Schizosaccharomyces pombe: one gene and its partner. Changing the gene in region 2 together with the main gene of any one other region gives a genetic interaction. Each region holds a gene or a part of one and is shown on either strand. Other genes may lie near its edges.

Region 1 (3,758 bases), on a different chromosome or scaffold from region 2:
CGACGTTCGAAAGAACATTTGGAGCGATATGTCAACAAGGCAGACATACGAGCAGCTCCAAGGCCACTTACAGGCTGATCGTCTATGCCGTAGTATCCATCATTAAACTTAGGGTCAGAATATATACTCTGGCGTTGCGCTTCAGACCAGCTAATGCACCACGCGGAATGACGAAGAGAGGTAGAAATGGGAACAATTGATCGCACAAATTCCTTATCAAATGCCCACTCCAAAACCAGCATACCACCCATGGAGCCACCTACTGCCATAGCAATTTGCTTTACACCCAATCTTTGTAAAATAAGTTTATGGATGTTTACATCATCACGTATGGTTGCTAAAGGAAATTCTGGCCCATAAACACTATGAGTCTCAGCGTTCCATGTAACAGGAGAGGCGCTTCCGTATGGGCTACCAAGAGAATTAAGGCATACGATAAAGAAATGTGATGGATCAAACGCACGACCAGGACCGAGTAAAGGACCCCACCAATCTCCAGCATCAGCAGAACCACTTAAAGCATGACAAAGAAGAAGACAATTGTTTCCTTCTTTATTCAAAGTACCCCAAGTCTTGAAGGCAACGGGAACATCGTAAAGGATGTCGCCACACTCCAACGTAAATTTGGGAACAATTGCAATTTTTTGATCTGAAATAAGCTGAACAAATTTATTTTCTTGCTGAGACGGATGACAGGAGTCAGTAAAGACAATTGATTCAATCGGAGATTGAGATTCCATTTTTATCAAACGATTGATAGTCAAATTTTGAAAAAATGAAAGAAACTAAATTTTTTGATAGAACTGAGTTCTCAAAGATGTAACTAACAAAACTCAATGGTAGGAGTTTTAAATAACCAAAAAAAAATTTTTTGACAAAAGCAGATTAGTGTAAGGTTTAACACAAAGAATGAATTACTTGCTTTTGTGTTGAGTAAGCAAATACAATTAGCTTCTCTTCTTTTAAGCGTGAAAAACAAAAAATCGAAAAACCAGAAAGTTTTTACGAAAAAAAACCAAAACTAACGGTATTGCGCAGCAATAAAAATTTTAGGTTTTTTAGTACCAGGAACGGTAAGCAACTATATTTGCTAATTTGTTAAATTCCAAAGTTACCCAAAAACACTTGAATACCAAGATTTTTTTTCCTATTCGGTTATGGTGAAAGGAGAAGTGGTAAGTTTATAAACTTTTATCTCAACCTAATTTAACGGTCTGCTTAGTATTTTGTTAGACAACATTAATTGAACGGTAATCAATAACCGAGTTTGGTATACGGGTACTTCATAATATGCTATTCAAACAACGAGACTTTTTTGTTATCTTATATAAATATAACAGTTTTAACCGTAATTTCAGTAAAATCATGTATGAAAAGGATGAATTTATTAAAAAAATTACAAAGGCTAATGTTTTATAAAAAGTCATTTCATGGATCAGGACTCTGCGAGATCAACTTTCGAAGATAAACGAATCGATAAGGAAAAGGTGTAATAATGTTAAATAAACAGGCGCTTGGTCTAAATAATGATTACTTGCTAGTTTCCTTAAATTTACAATTAATTGACTTGAAGCCAATTTTAAACAAGTGTTTTCAACGTTAAGTGTTTTAGTTTATCAATTTACAAATGAAGGAATACTCAAGACATATTTTATGACCCAGCCAAACCTGTAGTTCATCCTATTCAAAAAGGTTAAGGCAATTGAACAACTTGCGCCCTTAATACTAAGTAGCCGTAAGATATATCATACGATGTTCCATGAAAAAATATTTATATCCACGCAGAATTACAGTCATGTAAGTTTTTTAGGAAAGAGTAAAGGCACCTATTCTTTTAATACAATGTCTCCCAAATAGTCAAAATAATTATATAATTATAACAAGTATGCTTGACTTTTGTGATCTATCAGAAGTTGAGCAACAATGAGAGTCTATTGTAATCGATATGTCTATGCTTAATTGCTTGTAAAAGTAGACATTTTAAGTTGTTGACTGCTACTCACCAACTCGTACTAAAAAATTCGTCTGCTATGACTAAACGATTACTGTTGTCCAGTCCAGTCGGCAGTTAGCCAGAGCCAAACACAAATAATCCCACCGCATGCTTTGTAACTGCAAAAGCTCGGATTTCATTAAAAAATAGCTTAGAGTATAAACGGAGTGGAGTAATTTTTTTTTTGAATGAGTTATTTCTTCCAATATCATAAATCTTAACCCTTCTGCTTTTTGCATAGTTACGACATGGTAGTATACATCGTTTTATACACCTGCCTTGCGGGATTTATCCTTTTGTTCTTGGTAAGCAATATTAGCTAGCATGCTTCTCATTCATGTCCACCCGTCGGTAAATAAGGTCGTTGCGGGCAGAACCTGTTTAGTTTATCTGTACTTTCGATTTTTTGATGTGACATTAGACCAAATTTTTCCCCGAATATTCATTAACCCAAATATAGGTTTACTATTATTTAACTCATTCTCATTGCCCGAGGAAGCAACTGGAAGGAGAGGAAACATGTGTATTCATTGAGAACGGTCAAAAAAAAAGTTTGACTCTTGAGAAGTGGAGCACTTCTGATAATATACAAATAACGGTCATTGTTCCCGCGTATAATGAGTCTAAACGAATCGGAAACATGCTCCAAGAGACAGTCGATCACTTGGAAAAATATTATCGTTCCTCTTCTTCAGCAGGACAACGTCGGTGGGAGATCCTTATAGTTGACGACGAGAGTAAGGATACGACGGTGAATGCAGTGCTAGAGTTTTCTAACAAACTGGATTTGCGGGATCATTTACGAGTTTGCTCACTCAAACGGAATCGTGGTAAAGGCGGTGCGGTAACTTGGGGCATGTTGTACGCTAGAGGTCAATATGCAATTTTTGCTGATGCAGATGGTGCTTCTCAATTTTCTGATTTGGAGCTCCTTTTTAAAAATATGCCACCCGGACCAAGGGGTGGTGTCGTTGTTGGCTCGCGTGCTCATATGGTGAACACGGCTGCAGTAGTAAAGCGCTCATTTATTAGGAACTTTTTGATGCACTGTTTTCACAAACTTTTACAAATCTTAGGGATCAGGGAGATTGGCGATACGCAATGTGGCTTCAAGCTTTTTTCTCGTGAGGCATATCAAAGTATTTTCCCTCGTATGCATGTTGAAGGATGGATTTTTGATATTGAAGTATTAACACTTGCTCGTTTTTTCGGTTTACCTATCATTGAAGTTCCCATTACTTGGCATGAAGTTGGCGGTAGTAAAATGACTCTCTTGAAAGACAGTATTTCAATGGCAATCGATTTGTTGGTAATTCGGTTGAACTATACATTTGGTATATGGGAAAGGCCCTCGGCTAAGCGTATTACTTAATTGGACGTATTGTTGTGGATGTTATTGTTCATTATACATTTTTCCTGAGATATAATTAAATTATGAGAGATACATAAGAATTTTTAGGCGGTTCGTTTCCTATTACTCTTTGTTCCTTTTTTATTGATTGTTTTATCTCCAAGCGGAATATTCTATCTTTGAGTAAGCGATTTTCTACTTGCTCGATTTTTTTTCAATGTTGTAAATACTTCTCATTTCCCCATATATGTACTTATGACGTTCTTTTTATGAAAAATTACTTGACTAATAAATTTACTAATTAAATTCTTTTTAATATTCACAGTTCGTGGTAGTAAGGAACATAATAGATGTATTGTTATTATTACGCAGCTGTTAGTTTTCAACCGAGTCTCTAGCCAAAACTCAACTTTT
Region 2 (3,758 bases):
ACCGAAATCCTATTTTTTTATAACTTGAACAGACAGTTCAAGCAACGAATTACCTCTTGTACTTCGTTTTTGGTAGTTGGTAGGTTTTTGCCTACTGAAAGGTGACGGCCTATGAAAACTTTTAGCACGATACATTTCGTTAACTTAGCTATCGTATTTGTATTTATTACAGTATTTCAATAATATACAAAAAAACAAATAATTTTTTGGAGGTAAAATATTAGTAAAATTGAATCACTAAACAATTCGACTCCAAGCGGCTGACAAACATTCAACCAATAGTTTAGAAGCTCAGTAAAAGGAAACGAAGACATAAGAACATTAGACGTCCTTTTTCCATCGGAGAGCATTTTAAAGAAAGAAATGATATTTAGAAAAAAAAAGCAAATGATTTAGGAAATGAAATAATAGAGGTCTAAAAATTGTAATTGAATGTCAGTGTTTTATCTGTCAAAATATTTCAAACCTAATAGTCACGTTGTAATAAACGACACGATCTCGTAATCAGGTTTTTATCGAACACGAGTAAAAGCGGTATATTTTGAGTAACGGTAATAAAAACTTTTTAAGTAAAAAGAAACAAAGTCTATTCTCTTATGCAGGCTTGAAAAAATTTTGCAAATTAAACATAAATAATAACCAACACAAAGGGTTTAAGACTTTGACAGACTATCGCGCATGCTTTGAGAACTAGCACTAACGGGATTATGAGTCATAGGGAGGATGGTAGCAGGATCTTTCTGACGTTGCTGTTGAGATTTAGCAACGGCATAAACAACACCAGAAATAAAGCCCAACAAAATAGCGGTAACAGATCCAAAAGTGATGGGTGCATCAAAAAACACTAAACCGGCAATAGCCAAGGGAAGTTTGTTAAGAGCACCAACCATACTATAAGTTGTCGAAGAAGTTACGCGTACACACCAGGCAGAGGTGTAAGAAATTCCTACTGAAGAAACACCACTAATAGCCATAGCCATTAGAACACCAAATTTGGCATCAGGAGGGAAATTTTGAGCAATGTTTTCAGCACTCCAGTCCTCAGTAAAGAGCGTGCAGATAACCAAAACAGGGATACTGAGTAAGTTGTTATAAAACATGGTATCAAAGTCACGAAAGTTGGTAAGTTTGATACGCTTACGCATCGCGAGAACAAAAGCAGCATTTGTGAGACAGTTAAGCACCATCCATAAATAGCCAGAATTTAAGGTTTGGGAAGCAAATGAGGAAGACTGGATGTCTGCCCAAGCAGCGACAATAGAAGAAAGAACCATTAATCCAAAAGAAAAAAGAGTTAAAGCAGTAACATGCCCGCCAAACCAAAGGACCTCACCATAAGCAATGATAATAATAGTTAAATTCTTAAATATAGTGTACACTGGAACAGAAAGAAATTGCAAAGCCTTCGATGCAGTATAAATCATAGCTACCAATAAAAAGGAAATAGGAAACCAAAATTTGGCCTCACGAAAATCAAAATCCCTATAATTAATAACTTTCAAACGTTTTAGTATCCCAATGGCTGCTACACAAACAGTGGATTGTACAGTCAAAAGGAGAAAGTTCATATTGTAACCAGGACTCGAAAGAACATATTTATTGGTCAAAGTCATCAATATGGAAGCCATGCAATATGACACCACTGGAAGAATCGGTGATTTACTAATTCGGTTTAGCATATGATTATCCATTGTTGTTGGAATTTCGTGATGGCTCCGGTGAAGTTGTCTACATACCTACCCACCATGTTTGGAAGGAGCGCGTACGTAACAGGCCTTACCCTTCCTCAAAGACACAGTCCATTGGTAACAAGTTTTGGCATACAGATTGATTAACATCTCTGTTGATCAAACTTAAATAACTTGGTCTTCTCATATAAAATATAATTATTTAAATACTTTTTTGTTCATCTATAAAAGAGTATTTTCGCCTGCAAGCCACACTTAATGTTACACCAATTCATATGTTTTACAACAAAGTATGAGCATTTACTGTAAAAGCTGTGTTTGAATTGTTGTGAAATTCCTTAGTGTATGAAGATCGTTTTCCAGTCGAAGTCGATCATATATAAAGTCGCGATGCAGATACATATACAATTTAAGCATTTGTTGGAACTAGAGAGGCAAGGGAATTGACTCATATTATAATAGATGATTGGAGTATAACCGTATAGACAATGACCTTTCTACATGGATCTTTCGTTTCGTTCAATTGGACTATAAATTTATAAACGAATGCAATGTGGGCTACTTACAAACGCTTTTTCGTAGATAATAGTCTAGTCTTTAAACCATAATAGCTATTAAGACGTTATTTCAAAAGTAAAAGTGCAGAAAGAAGTGTTGACGCAGAGAAGACGATTGATGAAGTACAACTATAAAATAATATACATGCGTTTAGGTACTCGCATGTTTTAATCATGGAATTGGCTAAAAAAATCTATGAGTTGTTGGGAAGTGTTCAGTAATTCTCAATGCCACTTTCAATAATCAAAAATCAACTGAACTTGCAAATGCAAAACATGTAGTATAAGTATGCGAAAATACCCCACCATTAGAAAGCTACGCATCTTAAACTCCTATGGGCGTTTCCAATTGCAGATATGTACGGTATATTAGGGCACGCTTAACTTTGCTAAAAATTAATTAACGAAGTGCAACCACAGATGTATTGCGTAAAGCACTACCGATGTTTAGCCATCCGTCTTAAACGAGCATTGTGCCCATATCAATTGTAAGAAGCTCTTCTCTGTATATAAGCAGTCGACCTCTTGCAAACCGCAGTTTTTAGTAGGAATTGGTATTACACTCATTGTAAACAACATTCTGCATATTTCACCTTTGTGGAAATCATTTATCAAAATACCCACATACAAGGCACACATTGTAAACATTGTGGTTGCAAAGGATTTAAGTACATTTCAATCAGATTTTGGACCTTCCTATTTAATTTATAAATAATTTATATATAATCGCATATATTATATTAAAACTCTAATTATAAACAGCTTGCTTTGATTAGACGTTGCGATGTCGCGCAGAAATTCAATTGCGGTTGAGCAGGCAATCAATCCAAACATGCTTCGCGCTGCCAATCGAAGCTCTGAAGCCTTACTCGATAATGAAAAGTTTGGAGGTGTGCAACCCTACAGTACAGAGAGCGGTATGCTCTTTCATGCCGGAAAGCTCGTAATCATCATGTCTGGCTTACCGGCTAGAGGCAAGTCTAATATTGCTGTGTCGATAGACAGATATCTGAGGTGGTTGGGATTTAATTGTAGATTTTACAGTCTTGCGAAATACATAGACGAACGCACTAGGGAAATGACTAGTTCGCCTGTGAAATCTGGTAAGCTGAAACTATAGTCGACGTTTTGTACCTTTGCTAACTTATAACAGCTGCATCAGAAAATCATGTTTTTAGTAGGAATGACACAATTGAGAGATGTTTAGCAGACTTAGAGATTTTTTTACTTAAAGAGAAAGGTCAGGTTGCTATTTACGATGCAACAAATGGTACTAGACGTACACGTCGTATTTTATATGATAGGTTCAAGAATTGCGGGTTTAAAATCTTGTTTATTGAAAGTCTGTGCAATAAAGAGGATGTCATCAATGCGAATATTCAAGAAGCAATTCATGTTTCTGAGGAATTTCGAAATTGGGATTTGGAGATGGCCGAAAAAGAATATTGTCGTCGAATTGATATTCTCAAATGCCATTATGAAACCATTGATGAAAAGGACTATTCCTTTGTTA

What was found.
Region 1: mutations in vrg4 (region 2) and alg5 are lethal when combined (synthetic lethality), as found in Schizosaccharomyces pombe (one study listed by BioGRID).

Annotation. Positions count from the first base shown.
Region 1 is NC_003423.3:4,090,087-4,093,844, forward strand, and holds alg5 (dolichyl-phosphate beta-glucosyltransferase Alg5), read left to right. Parts: upstream 1-2,070; 5' UTR 2,071-2,241; coding exon 2,242-2,298; exon of another isoform or gene 2,299-2,453; coding exon 2,454-3,365; 3' UTR 3,366-3,666; downstream 3,667-3,758. Other genes in the region: homoserine O-acetyltransferase Met6, read right to left, coding at 1-740.
Region 2 is NC_003424.3:4,688,103-4,691,860, reverse strand, and holds vrg4 (GDP-mannose transporter Vrg4), read right to left. Parts: upstream 1,721-3,758; 5' UTR 1,692-1,720; coding exon 654-1,691; 3' UTR 33-653; downstream 1-32. Other genes in the region: SPOM_SPAC144.17C (6-phosphofructo-2-kinase), read left to right, coding at 3,030-3,348, 3,399-3,758. UniProt on the Schizosaccharomyces pombe protein: Involved in the import of GDP-mannose from the cytoplasm into the Golgi lumen.